2 linked regions of the Daphnia pulex genome follow. The protein of the gene in region 1 interacts with the protein of each later gene in a pairwise test. Links are inferred from orthologs where the notes say so. Each region holds a gene or a part of one and is shown on either strand. Other genes may lie near its edges.

Region 1 (9,202 bases):
TCTCCTCAGTTCCTGTAGTGACGAACAAAATCGGGAAAATGACAGGCGGTAACTCTCCAACATCGCAGAGCTCTCAGAATCAATCAAGACAAGCATCCCCGTTACATGCCGGACAGCAGCAACAAATGTGCCAGGATGGCCAACCACAACAACTCAGGAAAAAATCTAAAGAGATCATCCATTCGGGACACTTCATGGTCTCAGATTTTGAAGCTGAAGGAAGGGATGATGATGACGATGAGTTAGCCATCCCTGTGCCTGAAGATGCTGAAGATTCTGCTGTTCTAGTTGGATCAGGTGCAGTAGCCACGATTAATGCAGCTGGTGACCTTGCCGGATCTTGCAGCAATCAAGGATCATGTTCAGTGGCAAGCACAATCTGGCCCAAAAAACCTGACTCCATTTCATCAGGTAAAAATTCACAACATTTTGGTTAAAAAAAATATATTTAAAAAAATCAATACATTTTTTGTAGTTATTTTCCAAATGAATAAATTTGTTGTATATTTTTAGGTTTCACAGCAGATACTGGAAATTGGATTCAGAAGAATATAGGATCAACATTCTCTTGTGAGGATCTTCCAATCCAGACAGCAGAGGATTTGATGGTTCCTGCAGTTACCATAGACCAAAGTCTCACTAAGCTGTTTCAATGCATGACCCTGGCTTATAGGTTTGGTCATTTTCAAGGAGTTATGTAACATGAGTTTATATTAATCAGTAAAACACACTTACAGTTCAAAGCTGACGTCCCCACGCTGGAAAAACTTTAAGGGATTACGCCTACAGTGGAAAGATAAAATTCGTCTCAACAACTTGATTTGGCGTTGCTGGCACATGCAGTGTACGACTTTCTATACTTGGCATTTGAAATTATTATTAAATAAAAACTTTCCTTTTCAACAGTTATTGAAAGAAGAAACACAGCTGTGTGTCAGTTTGCTTCCCCTCTAGAAGTGGACCAACACAACAAACCTGAGGTAATATTTCCTTTCACATTTAAAATTTCACTGTTTAATAAATAATTGGTTATTCCTATATAGGCCGTCGTACTTGAGGGTAAATATTGGAAGCGTCGATTAGCGACCGTCACCGCTGAATACAAAAAGTGGCGAATCTTTTTCAAAAATCAAATGATGGGTCGTGCATCCAAAGATCTCAACGATATCGTGAGTCTTATACAATTTATTCATGGATAGTTGGTGAGAAAGCTTTAATCCAATTTTATCCCACCAGACCATGTGCGGGGAATTCGATCACTTAGATTGGTTTGCTCCGCGGAGCAACGGCAGTTTTAACTCAGGGACGGGTTCCCTCGCATTGGATGATGACCTCTTCATGGACTTTTCTGATACGCTCTTTTCAAGCTTATCATCTAATCAGCCTTTTCCCTTCCCCAATCCCAGAGAAATCGGTATGTAATCTGAAATTTTTAAAATATTGTATGGTGTAGAATAAATTTGTATTCACTTTTTTTCTTTTTCAGCGAAAGGAGCTGGTCTGGCTGATTTTATTCAACCTGGACTTATCCAGTTGCAACCCAATTTAGACGATTTCATGGATACTTTGGAACCGTTACACGGTTAGTATTTTTTCCCCCACCTGTCACGATATTAATATTTCATCAACAAAATTTTAAACTGTCTTTCAACCATGTAGAATTGCTTTCTGGACGTTTGCCGCCAGTTGAAGAAGAGATTGTCGCTGTGGAGGACAGTATAGCTGGACGAGCATCTGATCAACTTACTCAACGCCGCAACGATTTCCAATCGCATGACCATTCGCCTTATTGTGCCTCAACTTCTACCACTCCAGTCAGTGCCGCAACGATAGTCGTCACATCATCCTCGCCGCAGACTTTGCTCAATTATATGCCGATGGATCAGTCCAATCCGTCTTATTTATCAAATCCACAGTTCGCCAACGCTCATCGATCTTTGACAAGTCAGCAACATTCGCGGCCACAGCAGCAGCAGCAGCAGTATCATCTGCAATCACAGGAACAACTTCAACAGCAGCCGCACCCCAACGAACCCGTTTTCGGCCACCCCACAAAACTTGCCGTGTCACCGTCGTCGTCACAGGTTGACTCGTTTTGCAACTTGTTCGACTAAAACTAAATTAAATTTTCTTGGGTAGAATTCGGGATTCGAGTCCAACGTTAATGTTTCATCAGGAACGTCTCACCAGCTGCAGTCCCATCAAGTTCATTCGCCGGACGGATTCATCGCCTCTGGAGGATTCGATAGTACGAATTCTCATGCTGGGACTTTCCAGCGACAGAATAGCGGAGGTAGCGAGCATGGATTCGTCGTACCAACAGCACAGTTTGTAGGGATCGATATCTATTTCTGATTCTTATCCCAGTTCACTGTTGAGATGTCTTATTTGATATTTATCAGCAAGGAAAACAACGCAGTCGATCAAGAAGTGGGTCGGGAGCCAACACTGCTGGAAACGGCCCTACAGCCATCTCGGCACATGTGACCACTACTGCGCTTAGTGCCAGCCAGCCGGCGATCGGATCGAGTCGAGTTCAACGTAGCAAAGCCAGTGGAAATTCATGCAGCAGTAGTAGCCCAGCTCGCTTATTGAGCAACTCAGCAGGCACTCAAGAGGGCAATTTATCACGTAGCAGTCGCGGTCTTGGACGTCTGCGCTCCAGTTCTGACTTGCAACCTATCATGCCTGTGCCTACGTCAGCAGTTTCGACCCCGGCTACTGTTATACCTCGCACCATTCTTCCCGATAACAGCACTTTGCTGGCTCAGCTGTTGACGAACTCTAATCAAATAGGAGCACCATCAACCACTTTAGTTTTAACTGCCGACCCGTCAGCTTCGCGGTACGCTCAGTAATTGATCTCATTCATCGTCCATTCCCTACAATTAGTTTTGTTTTGCAGGATTCCCATCATTTTCCCACTTCAGAACACTGACTCAACGACAACTAAATTGGAAAAACCGTTAACCTTGTTGCCCACAACTATAAACCTTGAGTATTCCAATGATGGTCGTGCCTACAAGCAGGAGCCGTCCTCGAATGTGACCATGGTGGAAGAGCCAGCAGCAAACCAAACTGCTTCACGCAGCAGAAGTAGCGATGGCGAACGCACTCAGTACAGGGTATGCAAATTGTAAATATTTCAACACATTGGTTGACTAACTGTAGCTATCTGTCAATAGGAGCACCGACGAGTGTGCCACATCAACGCCGAACAGAAGCGTCGCTGCAATATCAAAAACGGTTTCGATACTTTGCAGTCGCTATTACCAGGCGGTGGATCAACGGGTGGATCTGGCAGTGGTCCAGCTGCGTCTAGCCATGGCAAAGCTAGTGACGTTAGCAAAGCCGCCATGCTCCATCGCGGTATATCATAATATCAATATATACAGTATATACAGGAGATATCATATTCGACCTCCATCAGGTGCGGAATACATCCGGCAGCTGCGCCAGGAGAGACAGCAGCAGCAAGAAGAAATGGATCAGTTGAAACAAAATATCGAAACGCTTAATGCGGCCATCAGGTTTGATTTAGGAAATTGTGAGTACATGCAGTTTTTATTAACCCGTTATGATTTGGTTTGACTAGCGGCTGCCAAGCACTCCTACCTGCTAATGGTGCTCCCGTTTCACGCCAGCGTAATAATCGGATGCGAGAAATGTTTGACGAATGGGTCCGAGTTCGAACTCTGCAGAACTGGAAATTCTGGATTGTAATTATTTTTTTTTTATTGACTAAAAAGCTAAATAATTCAATTTAAAAAATCGAATTACGATGTTTGAACTATCTTGTATATTTTCCAGTTTTCGATATTGATCCAACCACTCCTCGAGTCCTATAGTACGGCCCTTTCCGCTGCTACGTACGAAGATCTCTGGCAAAGTGTTTTAAATTGGGTTGACCAGTATTGTTCTCTGATAGCTCTTCGTCCTGGTAAACATTTTTGTTTTGTTTTACCATTTCGTCATAATTATTTATGTTTTGTTTCTAGTGGTATTCAATTCGCTCCGGAACTTGAGTAAAACAACCGACATTATAGCAAATCCGTCTAGATTACCGGCGGAAGCCACCCAAGCTGCCTGCAATCCGGATAGAACTACAACGCCCAACAACCTTCCGTCAACGACATAATCTTCCCCATTCACCACCGTCAAATCTACAATTTTTTCTCCCCTCTGTCGATCCCACAAATTTTCAACAACTTTCATTCCTCGATAAATTGCGAGGAATTTCAAGTTTCATGCGGCCTATGTTCATAATCGATGTAGTCATTATGTAGCAGATGTAGCATAACCCTATTATTATATAGACAGATGGAGATATTTTTTTTCAGTTCGCAATTTTATCTAATAGTGAATTCAGTGAAGGTTTATGACCTAGATTTTTAGTTTAGTTTTTAAGAGTGAGAGATGTAATCCAGAGTCATAGTGGAAAAAAGGCTAAGAAAAAAAAAACGAAAGAAATAATTTAAAAAAAGACGGAATAGTTTGTATTTGTCATGGTAGATTGTAAATTGATTTTTGGGTGGCTGTTATTTTGGGTTTTGTCCTACCGTTTTGCCCCTAACTTCTGTATCACAGGCGGCTCAAAAAAATATTTTTTTTTTGCTAACTCTTTAAATACGATATGTTAGAACAGCCTGATTTATTTTTATTACAGTTTTTTCCCACCTGCCTGGTTTGAAAAACAACAAAATACTTCCCCATCTATTAAGTGTTTCATATTTACTCTGCTCCCCCCTCCCCCACACACAATCGAACTTGGAAAAAACAATTGAAATACATGTTTGTTTTATTGTTACTCTTTTGCATCTTGGGAAGTACAAAGGATGCATGAATTCTATGATGTACAAAACATTTCGCTGAATCCGTAGATCGCACGTGGGTTGTTTTGTCGTTTTTATTTGAAAATAAATCGGTCAAGAGCATAGTTGAATGTAACTTCTATCTGAGATGATTCAATCATGTAAAAAATTTGTCAAATGTTGAACACAATCCACAAGAAAAGTATTACATTAACAATATTAAGACAACTTTGTATAAGATACTATATACAACGATGGAAATATAAAGGTTTCGTGGCACACATTGGTGAATCTTTTTCTTTGTTTTAAATTATTATAATAGTTAAGTGTTTTGTTTGATTGCGATTTGAGGGAATACAAAAGGAGTGCGTGGGCTGTGGGGGGTTATCTGTGGCTCTGGAGACGGGCAAAGGCGCTGGTGACTTGCACTTTAATTGGATCGGGAATGTCGTTGAATTTGGAGAAGAGCCCGTGCAGAAACTGGATCTCTTTTGACAGCTGCTCTACACGTCTCTCAAGTCTCTCCTTATCGGCCGACAGGACCGTGACACGTTGAGCCACTATGCGTGACTCGGCTTTGGCCTTCTCGCGGGATTTCTTCACGGCGATGTTGTTGAGAGTCCTTCGTCGTTTGTATTCGTCGCTATCTTTGCTGACGTTCTTGCCGCCCGATTTGAACCGACGACTTGTCGAGGCCGAGCTGCTCGTGGTCGAACGTCCGGCAGGGCTGGAAACGGCAGTGCCGTAAGGGCTGGGCATCATTGCCGACGTGTAGTCACTGGCGTCGGTCAAAGTGCTAGGTAGACAACGGCTGTCTTCATCCTCTTGCAAATGAGCTATCTCGCGTTTCACCATCGGCTGCGGCTGATAAGAGCCGGAATGCGATAAGTAATCGGCGACGCTTCCGATGTTTGAGTCTATCATTGCCTGCTTCAACACGGAAAATAAAACAAATGACACGATAAGTATGGCGTTCGTGAAATAATTGTTGGTGATTCTATGCGACAATACCTCGAGATCCATAGAAGTTTCCGCAACCTCCAGAGTTTCTGGATAATAATCGTAATGATCGGCAAATGGGATGATTTCGCCACTCATTGGCGGATGATCGTAGTCCAATAGGTGACCCTCAAGTTTCCCGCTGGTGGTGATGTCGAAGAATTCGGAATCAAAAAAAGACATACCGCGAACGGCTTTTGGTTTGTTGGGTGAATTGGTATACAGACGGGGGCTAAACTTTCACTGTGTAACAACAACTTGTGCGTTCGAGAATGATCTTTGGATTTGCACTGATCACCTCGACTTGTGTGTACGTGTCTGCTCTTGGCGGAGTCGCTAGAAAGAATGATGAAATCATGAAACGCACTGCGCTATTATACCGAGGGCCCGGGGACTGGAAACGCAATTTGGCTCCGCCCCTCCGGACGTGGTGCAATCGTCGAATGACTCGGCATGGCGGCGGTTGGTACGGCGTATAGTGACGTCACTGCTCCGGGGAAATCCCTAATAAGAAAATAAAAAAGCTGGGGAAAACCAAAGTCAACCATACTTCTACTACTCCCAGTTGGAACTAGTTTGAGGCGGAATGCTGGAAAAAACACTGACTCGTCAGCAAAAATGCAAATCAACGAGGGGCAAAGTGAAATTTTCTCTGCTGGCCGTGGAGGTCATTTGAATAAATACACACGCACAAAAAGTAGTGATGTCAATGTAATGTCATCCACTTCGTGTGCAAGCGATAAGCCCCGATTCTGGACGTCAACGTGACTAATGCTTGCCGATAACGCGTGCATATCAACCGACGACCCTGATTTCGTCTCCTCGTTTCCTTTTTAATTAACGAAATATTATCGAAATTTTGTCAAGGATCCGTCTCAAGTAGAATCGTGCGCACATGTGCATGAAGGCATCAAGTCTATCTTGGAAAAATAACCTATGTCGTGGTTGTTTTTTAATTTGTTTTCTGTGGAAAAGGGTGATTCACGTGTTGAGAACAAACACACAAAAAAAAAACAAGAGTTGACCGATTTGTGGTTTCTTTTTTATATTTTCCCGTCCGGGTTTCGTGACGTCAAACGAGAACTCGCTGACGTCATAGAACGCAGGTTTCTAGAAAATCTACGCACATGCGCAGGCAGGATGACGTCGGCCAATCACAAACCAGTTTCGGCGGAAATGGGCGGAGTCATTCGCATCGGAATGTTATCGTTCAACAGAAAAAAGCAGACCGAAAGCAAACAAAATAATATAAAGTCTAATCCTCATAAGTCATTTTAACCGTCGTCGCTTTGTTATAATATGCGCAGCTGAATTCGGTTGAAAGATAATAACGACTACGACGTCCTACTAAAAAACATCGACATTTTTTTGTTGGTGGTTTGATATCTGTTGCTATATGCTTGCATGTCGACTTGGTTGATCAAAACCGGTTCAAACTGCTTGGGAAAACCGAAAATACAGCAAGTCCGGGCAAGTTCTGAAACAATAACCCGTTCGAATCAAGAAAAATTACCATATTCCACTGGGACTTTCTAATAGTGTCAATTTTATATTTTTAAAATTTAAAATAGGGAGATTTGATTATTCGATTTCATTTCAATCTTTCGTTTTTTTTATTTAAAAAAATGAGTTTGCATCAATGAGAACACACGTGTTTGAAATACTCGCATGAAATGGAGCAAAGCGAGATGGGTTATCAAACAAAGAATTTTATGAAGGTTAAAAATAAGAAAATAAACGTTCAGTGACTCGAATCGGAATCTTCGGATAGGGCACTGCTTTGCCCAGCCACTCTACACTGGTGCAAAATAGCCTCTTCGAAAGCTTTCTTGACGGCCTTACGTTCCGTCTGCTTCTTGGATTCAATCAGTTTCGCTTTATCACGATCAGGATCCACTCCAAGTGGCTCCAACTTATCTCTGGGCAACCATTGCCTGTAATCAACAACAAATTCAGCCATTATCACAATTGCGTCTGGTGTAAAGAATTAAGCTGTGGCAAATAAAACTAACGAATACTAACCAAGTCCGTTTGGCATCGAAGAATAAAACCAGAAAGGCTGGTGGTTGAACTCCAGCTCCCATTAAGAGAACTTCTTCGGGTGGTATGGCGATGGGGACTCCATTATGTACATAACCACTCCTGGGCCAGGAAGGATCGACAATCTAATGGAAAATGTAGACCTCGAATTAGAACTAATTCAGTACCAAATCCTAGAAATACGTTTTTACCAGAGCTGGATACCAGGGATAACCTCGACACTTCGCCCAAACGAGATCAAGTGGCTGTAGTGGAATCAAATTACAAGGCAAAAGTGAAGTAGAACTATGCTGATGTCGAGGAGGAGATGCTGAACTATCGTCACTTGACTGGCGATCAGATTCATCGCCAGAATCCGAATCACTACTGCTACTGCTTCCACTGCTGCTCCCTTCACTCCCAGACGATTCACTCGATCCTCGATGTGAATCCTCTTCGTCGTCTAATCTGTTGGTGCGATAAACTTTGAAACTTTCACTCTCAATGTTGGGAAGGTGAATAGCTCCAGGCTGCTGAACCGAAGCAAATAGCTTGTCACTTTCTGGATGCTTTTGCTTCTTCCTTTTGTTTAGATCCGTAGCTGCAACTGCAGCTGCCACAAATAAATTGGTGGATGCACTGGTGTTGGTGCCACTGGGTCCTGGTTGAGAAGTACTATTTTCTGAAACTTTTCGCGGCCTTCCACCTGCCCGTCTAGGTGGCGAAGTGCTTCCGGATGGTTCAGGCTTCTTGAAAGCCGCTGCGGCAGCTGCTTTCTTGGTGAAAAGCACCGCTGTTCGTCTATTGACACCCGATGGAGACCCAGTCAGCTGTTGCGGATTCACGGAGCTGATTTTTACTGGAGTTACTGGAACTGGAGGAACGATCGTCTCCAATTCCGGCGTTACTGGCACTGCTGCTACTGGAATTGCCGCAACGGCAACAGGGGTCGATGCGATAGATGTAGATGCCGGAGTAGAATTACGTTTCAGGACTTTAGCAACTAATCGATTCTTATTTGTAATGGATGGCGTGCTCTTTTCATCCGAATCCGTTTTGGGCGTTCGGGTGATAAAGTGATCAATCTTTAGTTGACGGGCGGCCGCTACGGATCGAGGCGAAGCCTTGACTGGAGGACCAGCAATACTAGAATCGCTGCTGCTTTTACTGCTACTGCTGCTGCTGCTGCTGCTACTCCCGCTGCTACTACTTCCGCTCGAATCCGAGTCACTGCTGCCTTCATCACGTGTTTCATTTTCAGGTCGTGATTTCGATGGACTGCTACTGCTGCTCCGGGTAGCAGCCGCTCTCCCGCCAGCTTGCAAAGACAATTTCCTACGAACTTTGGCCAATTCGTTTCTCAAAATTCGGAT
Region 2 (9,543 bases), on another chromosome or scaffold:
TGATCGACAGAAAAATTTATGTTATAAGATTTATTTACCTATCAGTGATTTAATGTTCACAGGTACTAGACGGTTGTTTGAAATCAGTTGCCTTGGATAGTAGAGGAATTTGTGATGCCGGAACACGTTTGGCTGTAGAGAATTCGCGTTGAATCGATTGTAATCATCAAGAATGTGATTGTAATCGACGGTTTGCGACGGTATAGGAAACACGAAGATGAAAATCATCCAATTTCGAATAAAGACTGACAATGTCATTTCCTCTAGCGCTAGCAATTATACGAGGGTCTCCTCCTATCAATGCTCAATCACCGTCCGATAGCAGGTCCCTTTTATATTCTCATTCGATTTGATTATTTCAATCTTTCCAATGAACCAGTTTTCTATCGCTCCGCCCTTTACAGATGCTAAAAATAAATCGGTGATGAAAGCGACGGTAAATCTAGTGAGGATGTTATCAGCTAAGCAATTAAAAAGATACACTATAGCTTTTTTATTTCTTTTCTTGAAGATTAATATTCACGGGGTCGTCGTCGGGAATAATAATAATAGACACCGGCATCTGATGTGTCCGTTTGCTCCCATTTGCCGCTGGAAATCGACTCAAAATAAAACTAATAACTGGTGGGGCAATTTGCATTCAGTTTTGGCATTTGAAGCTATAAGAAGCAATTGACCACCCGACCTTACAAGCTGTGAACGTGACTAATTTAAATGAAATGCTATTTCTGTATCAGCAATAAAGGTATTTGCAGCGATTTCAATATGCAAATTAAATCGTTCGAGCACCTTCCGATGAACTCATTTGACTCACTATAGCGGAAACGGAATCTTGAATCGGGTTTTGAGCGGCCTTGCTTCAAATTGGCGCGCCGTAAAAAGGTTAAAAGTTCACAATCAAAATTATTATTTGACTGGCGTATAAGATTACGGATTTGCATTTAACGTCATTAAAAGCTTACAAGGATTCCCCGATAAAACAAGCACATTCGAAAACCCCTTCCTATTTTATTTGACTCGTAGGGTACTTTTACAGTGTATAACAATTTAGGGCCACTTTTATTTTGCACTGACTGGACGAAAACAGGGCTACACAAATTGTTTTTTTATTAACAAGCAATCCACCACTCAACCGCACCAAATCCATGGACCCCACTTTTTTTTCCCATTCCGCTATGGGACCAAGAAATCTGAAATAATTCAGGCATATCCAGTTTTTTACTCCGGATTCACCTGTTTTTGCAGAATTTAAATATTCCCTGCCGTTCGGGAGATATTTAATGTTAAAGTTTGAGTTTTTTCAAATTTTAACAATTTTAGGGGGTCTTTGGCATCGCTTTTTGGGTAAATGCTAACCTTTAAAAACAAACAAATTCAACCAAAAGTTTGCTCGGCCATCCCTTAATACCAATCCAAAAGGAATTTACATTCCGAATTAGATTGGTCGAGTTATTCCCAATCTAGTAAAGTGTAATTTTGACCAGTTTCCCACCCAGCCTAGTCGCCATTATTTATGACTCTCCCTCGCGTTCCTAGCGGATGACAGACGAAGCATACGAGTTCTCTACACCTCGGGCTTCATATTGCCGGCCACTAGACTATATGAAAAGGCCTTCAGTATGTCCCCCGGTCTAAAGTGAAGGCCAGGAAAGCGTAGCTTCGTCTGTCATCCGCTAGGAACGTGAGGGAGAGTAATAAAAAATGGCGACTAGGCTGGGTGGGAAACTGGTCAAAATTACACTTTACTAGATTGGGAATAACTCGACCAATCTAATTCGGAATGTAAATTCCTTTTGGATTGGTATTAAGGGATGGCCGAGCAAACTTTTGGTTAAATTTGTTTGTTTTTAAAGGTTAGCATTTACCCAAAAAGCGATGCCAAAGACCCCCTAAAATTGTTAAAATTTGAAAAACTCAAACTTTAACATTAAATATCTCCCGAACGGCAGGGAATATTTAAATTCTGCAAAAACAGGTGAATCCGGAGTGAAAAACTGGATATGCTTGAATTATTTCAGATTTCTTGGTCCCATAGCGGAATGGGAAAAAAAGTGGGGTCCATGGATTTGGTGCGGTTGAGTGGTGGATTGCTTGTTAAATCATTCACCATTTAATTGCGAATCACAAGCTACGGTGGTAAACTGGGTCACGCAGAGCTATACAACATATAGATTCAACCTCCTCTTTCTAAGTATATCGCTACTAGTTACTATTTTCTGATTTCTGGAGAAATTGGTAGACGGAAGAAAAGTCTTTCTTGGCGTAGCCTCGAACAGTCATCAATCGATAGAGTTGGTGGGCAAGTGATCCCAGCGGGATCGCGGAATTGGAACGAGTCGCTGAATTCTGGGCGAGGCCAAGATCTTTCGTCATTAGGGCCGTTCCGAATCCCCCTTCATAGTTGTTTGAGGCTGGGACGTTTGGCAAGACACCAGGTACTGGATTGTAAATTTCACTGGACCAGGAGCGACCGGAACTTGTGTTGATAATACTGCTCAACAATTTAGGATCCAGTCCCAATCTTAATCAATAGGAAAATAGACGATGGTTATTGTAAGTTTTAATGATTCCCAAGTCGGTAATTACCTAACGCCAAGATTCATGGCTTCAGCTGTTCCAACCATATTGATTGCCAACAACATGTTATTGCAAATTTTGGCGGCTTGGCCCGATCCTACTGGACCGCAGTACACAATGTTTTTACCAACATGCTCTAGTATCGCTCTGGCATTAGGAAACTGTTCTTCAGGTCCTCCAACCATGAAAGTCAAGGTTCCAGCTTTAGCAGCCATCACACCTGCAAATAGCCATGAAAATGATGAATCACAATGATTTCATATTTAAAGTAAAGTTATTATACCTCCAGAAACTGGGGCATCAATGAAAATCATTCCCTTCTTTTCAGCTAGAGCTGCCATTTCTTTAGAGACACTGGGATCTATGGTACTGCTGTCAATCAGTAAAGATCCTGGCTTTGCCGTCCTTTATACATGATTCAGAGTTATTTTAAGAAGTCCTGCAGTATTTATCTGTTTAAATATTACTGGAAGACACCATTTTCTCCCGCATATGCTTCTTGTACATGGCCGCTGTTTGGCAACATGGTAATGATGGTATCTGATTTTTCTGCCACTTCGGCAGGGTTATGGCCAACTGATGCTCCTGCATCTTGTAGTTTTGACATAGCCTCTGGATACACATCAAATACAGTTACAGAGTTGCCCTGAAATGAAAAACAACAACAATGAGGAATGTGGAATTAATGAAACTACATAGTACAACAATAGCAATACCTTGTTTAATAAATTCAAGGCCATAGGTCCGCCCATGTTCCCGAGTCCAATAAAGCCAACCCGTTTGCCCGATCCATGATGGACTGTTGAACCTATTATTATTTCAAAAATACATTATTCGCAACACCATTCCTTAAAAATGTAACCAAATATACGCACTAGCAACTACATGGTAATAAAAACCCTTTAAGATTCGATAGCTAAGTAGGCTTAATGTATTTTTATCGAGTACTAAAGTGCAGAGGAAATGATGGAAAATAAAACTTACACGAAAATGAACGGTGTTTCCCGATTACTTTGATTAATACTGCGGCATTCCGGGTTACATTCGTTAACGCAGCCATCGTCTTCTGCTTGTTTTTAGTGAATGGAATTTGTATGGGGAAGTTGGTCGTCTGTTTACACCATTTTCCAGCGCCCTCTATACTGGCATACAAATTTAGAAAAACGTAATCTCATTACATCTCTCTTATTTCAGAAAAGAAAACCAAGAAATTCTCTGGAGGAATTACTCAAAATTATTGAAAAAAGTTTTTTTTGCGTAATTTTGGGCTTACGTGCCGATATCTAATTTACCGACAGGTGGCGTGTGACGGATAGCAACAAAGATTGTTGTTCGAAGATAAACATATACGAGTGTTAACCTTCACAGAGAGATCTTGTTTGCTTTACATTTACAATGGACCACAGAAGCCATATGACATTAAGTATATATTTCATATAAATAGCCTACCAAATTTATGTGCATTGACGTTTTACGCATTTTGTAGTTGGTGCCGAAAGTCGGCTGAGTTTCGACGGAAAAACAGAACCTTCAAGTCCAATAGATAAAATTGGAATTGGTGACAAGACCCCGTTTTCCCGTTGTAGTAGTACCAGCAGCATTCACACTCTTTCTTCCTCTGCACAAAATACAGGTAGTTAACCAATTGATGGAATAGTTCGAATCACTTCTAAAGTTGTGTTTTTTTGTTTATAATTTTATAGATGATGAAGACAGTGATTGTAAAAGCACAAAAAGTTACAAGGAGAGAAGACGAGAGGCCCATACTCAGGCAGAGCAAAAGAGACGGGATGCTATCAAGAAAGGTTACAGCTCTCTGCAGGATCTAGTACCAACATGTCAGCAACAAGATCCAATCAGTGGATATAAACTGAGTAAAGCAACAGTTCTTCAACGATCAATTGATTACATTCAGGTAAATTAGCCGCATGCATTCGACATCCTACCTTGAATAATGGTGTGGTTGCATGGGGTTTTATAGTTCCTCCAGCAACAGAAAAAGAAGCAGGAAGAAGAACTATCAGCCTTAAGAAAAGAGGTAATTGGTCTCCAGATCATGAAAAGTAACTATGACCAAATTGTGAAGGCAAACCAGACTCAGGCTGGACAATCTGAGAATAGAGTACCTGATGAAATGAAATTCCAATTGGTAATTCATTTTTAAAAAATCAGTCAGACTTTATGTTTGTTACTTTTGTTTTATCTCTGTTTTACAGTTCCAAACTATAATGGAAAATCTTTTCCTGACATTTGATTCCATGGTCTCTGCTGCAAGCTTTGTTGACCTGTCGAGTAATGTCTTTTCCTGGGTTGAGGAGCATTGCAAACCACAGGTTCAAGTGTGCATTGGTCATATTTCTATTACACTTCTGATAATATTTTGTGTGGGCTGCAGAGTTTGAAAAACTTGGCAGTGAGTGTACTTCAGACGCTCGTGACTGGGTCCAATTGAGTCCAGCCGATTAGGATAAACACCATGAACCAGCTTGTCAATATGCCACACAACTTCCGATCATTATTGCCGTAATCCCAGCACTTTGCGCCAGAGATCGCTGGGAAAATATTACACGTCCTCAAGGGGCTTATGCGAGAAACCGCCAAAGAAATTTCTAAACTCAACCGATTGCAATGTTTTAGTCTGTGTAAAGTTGTGTTATTATCCGGAATAGAATTTATATCGTACTTTCGATTGCGATGTATGATATTTTTCATCGTTAAACCACCGTGTTCATTATATAATATTTAAACGTTTTCGTACGCCATCTACGCCATCTAGTAATAGATTTCGAAAAATGTGCCTTCAGGCTATTTTGATCCAAGTGAAAATGAAAATAGAGGTCGCTTACTCGACACAATTTCGTCTGCATTCACCAGCGTAGCACCGAGTGAGTTGAGAGTGTCTGTTGTTTTTAGTTGCACTTTGGACGGTCAAATGTGCGAGATGCAAAGTTGTTTTTCCACCTAATAAAGTCTAGTCTCTACCTGTATACAATCTACTCGACTGGATACTTCACCTTTCAATCTTTGGGTGTTTGTGCAGTTTGATTTTTTCAAAAGCTCTCTCGATCGACAATTGCGTCTACCGTCAACAAAGGTTGGTGAAATCGTTTAGAATCGTTTTGAGTTTCTTTTCGAAAGTTTTGCTGTACACATTCTTTGACTTTTTCTATTGTGTTTAATGTTGTAAGCCAAGTTGAACCACCTGATTTCATCTGCCATCGCATAGCCCCACAAAGACAACAATTTGATATACCAGAGGCTAAATTAATTGCTCTAGGCCTGACGTCACGTACACCCTCACGTACACCCTCCTCAACCACCCCAATTAATTTTCTTTTTGTGTGTAACACGGCTTCCTTTAGTTTGGGTTGATGACGTCGTCAATTCAAAAAATATAAACCTAAATTCTTTCAAGTACTAGGAATCTATGTGGGGGGTTCGAGATAATATGTCCGTGTCATGTTTTGTTGGCATTTCGACGTCGAATAAATCTAAAGAATGTCTTTTTAATTTTAAATTTTCTTTAGACATTATCTGCTTATAAGAAATGAGGCTCACGGCCCTCACTGCCAGCAACGTCCGTAACCTGTCGCGGATGCTGGATCATTATTCCCATTTCAATCCGTCTCCATTGTCCGTCAAGCAGTTTATCGATTTCGGTAAGCCACAAGGAAAAAATAATATAACTTTTTATCAATGTTCTATTTGCTAGTCTCCAAAAATATTTGGACTCGTATACGGACTATCTAGAAGGTCAAACGGCTGACTTGTTTGTTTGTTTGTTTACCCGAGTTGAAAGGTTTCTTATATTGGGAAAGCTTTGTAAGTTGTTTTGAATCAAGTCGAGAAATATCTAGCCGGTAAACAACAACAGGTTTTTAAATAAAACCGGGTTATGTGTGTAGTATATTTGCCATTTTTGTTTTGGTTTTTCTGGACGTGAGCCCAACACGTCATCGTGACTTGCACACACGTACGGGAGTCCCAAAACAAAAATAAAAAGCTCTACATTTAGTATTTTTGTGTGTCTGGACTTATATTTTGTTGGTCCCTTTCATTTGAAAATGTAGGTCGCAGCGCAAATGAAGTCCGATCGTTTGAGTTTCTGCGCAAAGAGATACCCGTTCGCCTTGCCAACATTATGCAAGAGATCAATCTCTTGCCACAGAATCTACTGAGAATGCCCTCCGTTCATTTGGTCCACAACTGGTATGTCAAGAGTTTCAAAGAAATTCTCGAGTTTGAAGATATCAAAAGCGTCGACAACAAAAAACTTAACGAGTTGGTGACAATCTCTCTTGATTTGTTATAAAAATATTTCATTTAATTTTTTTTCTTTATCTGTTCAAACAAAAATTTAGATTCTGCGAGGCTTTGATCAAGATTAGAAATCGTCACGCCGATGTCGTGCCGACCATGGCCAAAGGTGTGATTGAATTGCGTGAATCGCATCCGGTCGACCAGACGATTGAACATCGAATTCATTATTTTCTCGATCGTTTCTACATGTCCAGGATCGGCATCCGCATGCTCATCAATCAACACAGTAAAGACAAAAAATATTTCACAAAAATTTCCAGTTTGAATTTAAATTTAAATTTTTGACTTTCAATTGCAGCGCTGCTGTTTGGTGGACAAATGAACAACACCCGACATATCGGCTGCATCGATCCCAATTGCGACGTCCAGTCTGTGGTGCGCGATGCCTATGAAAACGCCAAATTCCTTTGCGATCAGTATTACCTGGCCTCTCCCGATTTGGAAGTCAAAGAACATAATAGTATAAAAACACCTTTTAACATATTTTCAGCAATTGAATTGAATTATTCTTTGCAGACTTGGAGCCTGGTATTCCCATTCAGATCGTTTATGTACCGTCACACCTCTACCACACATTGTTTGAATTGTTCAAGAACGCCATGAGAGCCGTGGTTGAACATCACGGTGCTGCCGCTCGAGATTATCCACCAGTTCAGGTGCTGGTCATTCGAGGGAAAGAAGATGTTACCATTAAGGTTAAAATTTAGATTCATTCCCATCAAGAGAAATGGAATGTTTAATTTTTTGTTTTTGGATAGGTCTCTGATAGAGGTGGAGGTGTCACTCGATCAGACATGAAGAACCTCTTCCATTACATGTACTCCACCGCTCCGCAACCGTCGCTGTCGGATACGGATTCCGCTCCCCTGGCCGGTAAATTTCAATTGACAGAATTGACAATTTTTGATATTTGACCTTTGGAATTTTTTGGGATCAGGTTACGGTTACGGTTTGCCGCTGTCACGTTTGTATGCTCGCTATCTGCTGGGCGATCTGACTCTGACGTCATGCGAGGGCTATGGCACGGATGCCTACGTCTTTCTCAAGGCCATCAGCGAGGAGGCCAACGAAATGTTGCCCGTTTTCAATCACAGCTCCACCCGTCAGTACAGCTCACCTTTGCCCACTCGCGATTGGGTCAGCTTCGGTGGCGGCTCGGCCTCATCGCCCGCCAGAGTCCGTCACCTGTCCACCAAGGTCCCAGGCCCATTCGATTCAATAGTATAGTGCAATTCGGGGCCAACACACACAGCTAAAATTACCCAATTACCTATCAATACCAGAATTTTGGTAAAATAATACCAAATATTACAACAAAAAATGAGCTAAGATTTACTATCATAATGGCCAGCATGTTTTAAAATAGATTTAATTTGAAAAGAAAAATTATAATATCTACCTAAACACCATTGAAACGGTAGGAGAAAATGATTTAGAGAATCCACCGGGGTTTTTATTCTTTTAAATGTTTTATTCATTTTAATTTTTTGTAGAATTATCAATCTCATTTGAATGTTGAAATGGTTTTTAGTGGCCATTTATATTAAGATTTTCATTTGTCATCAAACGATATTGCTCGGCGAAAGGGTAAATGATCAGTTAATCTTGTGATGGACCCCCCAGTGTTTTGTTATTATCACGGAGAAGAGTCTTGCCACACTTTCATATCCGCATTGTCGTTGTCAAGTAAACCACAAGGATTAATCGCGTACAACTTTACATTGGCAACCCACATACTCCTTTGGGTCCCTTTTTTTATTTTTTGAATTAAAAAACAAAAGATGATGGTTTGGAAGGGGGGTCTGGTTAATTTGAGAAGAAATGTATAGTTTTAAATGTAATTCCCCAATATTCTATTGAAGTTAAGAAATTCCACTTCACACACACAGCATTGTCTTAAGTGCTCTGCATTTGTCACTTGCCGAGATTTGAATTTATATATCTCCCAAAGTGTAATACACAAAACCATTTTGAAATCTTGACATTGAATTCGATTGTTATTCAAATGTTATGAAGAAAATTGACCTTCAGAATCAACTATTTGAGCCTGGATGAGAAATTCTAATATAAAGAAAAATCCGGTTTTGATCGCCATAGGCTGCGAGGGTCAATAGGCTGAGAACGACGACCCTTTTTATTTTATCGGATCAAATCATCGGAAAAGACAGCCAGCGTCTATACCAAGGTTAACAATCCCTTTTAAGGACGCTAGCACGCGTGTAAAGGTCGCGTGACAAGATCCTGGCAGGGTTTTTCCAAACGTTTTGTCCTTGATTTCCCAGTTCAACGCTCTCTGTGTTACTAACCTATGCCAACAGATTTTGTGTTATAGCCGGTGTACCAACCGACACCTTTGTACAGGTATAGCCAGTCCGGTTGCCATCGGTTGGGCCTCCTATAAAAGCGGATGACTGGACTGGAGGGTGGCATTAGACCATCGTCATCCGACCACATCAAATCAGACCTACCATGTCGAGTCGTCGTATTCTGGTAAACGGAAACCTTTTTTACTTTAAATGTTAATTCGATTTTATTGTTGATAATGTTATTGAATTTTGGCAGTTGGTTTTGCGTGTTCTGCTGGCCGTCTTGGCCGTCTTGGCTACGATTGAAGCGGCTCCTCATCGTCGATCTCCTCGTCCACGT

The links.
Region 2: the proteins of carbohydrate-responsive element-binding protein-like (region 1) and max-like protein X interact in binary tests that used the Caenorhabditis elegans proteins (3 or more experiments, as listed by UniProt). The link is inferred for Daphnia pulex from reciprocal best matches to the Caenorhabditis elegans genes mml-1 and mxl-2.

The regions. Positions count from the first base shown.
Region 1 is NC_060023.1:7,797,091-7,806,292, reverse strand, and holds the end of carbohydrate-responsive element-binding protein-like, read left to right. Parts: 5' UTR 1-38; coding exon 39-411; intron 412-513; coding exon 514-673; intron 674-737; coding exon 738-844; intron 845-906; coding exon 907-980; intron 981-1,043; coding exon 1,044-1,169; intron 1,170-1,236; coding exon 1,237-1,414; intron 1,415-1,486; coding exon 1,487-1,582; intron 1,583-1,659; coding exon 1,660-2,084; intron 2,085-2,139; coding exon 2,140-2,331; intron 2,332-2,402; coding exon 2,403-2,845; intron 2,846-2,905; coding exon 2,906-3,125; intron 3,126-3,185; coding exon 3,186-3,369; intron 3,370-3,430; coding exon 3,431-3,530; intron 3,531-3,595; coding exon 3,596-3,719; intron 3,720-3,810; coding exon 3,811-3,940; intron 3,941-3,998; coding exon 3,999-4,138; 3' UTR 4,139-4,807; downstream 4,808-9,202. Other genes in the region: CCAAT/enhancer-binding protein beta-like, read right to left, coding at 5,196-5,741, 5,823-5,993; bromodomain-containing protein 1-like, read right to left, coding at 7,552-7,744, 7,833-7,975, 8,042-9,202. UniProt on the Caenorhabditis elegans protein: Transcription factor that binds to the E box motif 5'-CACGTG-3', probably in a heterodimeric complex with mxl-2.
Region 2 is NC_060026.1:14,952,542-14,962,084, forward strand, and holds max-like protein X, read left to right. Parts: upstream 1-3,855; 5' UTR 3,856-3,972; coding exon 3,973-4,000; intron 4,001-4,063; coding exon 4,064-4,210; intron 4,211-4,280; coding exon 4,281-4,492; intron 4,493-4,558; coding exon 4,559-4,726; intron 4,727-4,793; coding exon 4,794-4,910; intron 4,911-4,972; coding exon 4,973-5,029; 3' UTR 5,030-5,264; downstream 5,265-9,543. Other genes in the region: uncharacterized protein LOC124204377, read right to left, coding at 39-258; 3-hydroxyisobutyrate dehydrogenase, mitochondrial-like, read right to left, coding at 2,203-2,521, 2,587-2,797, 2,861-2,982, 3,045-3,223, 3,294-3,385, 3,562-3,637; pyruvate dehydrogenase (acetyl-transferring) kinase, mitochondrial-like, read left to right, coding at 6,125-6,236, 6,648-6,858, 6,939-7,123, 7,196-7,357, 7,414-7,592, 7,656-7,770, 7,835-8,124; glycine-rich cell wall structural protein-like, read left to right, coding at 9,367-9,387, 9,460-9,543. UniProt on the Caenorhabditis elegans protein: Transcription factor. Binds to the E box motif 5'-CACGTG-3', probably in a heterodimeric complex with mml-1.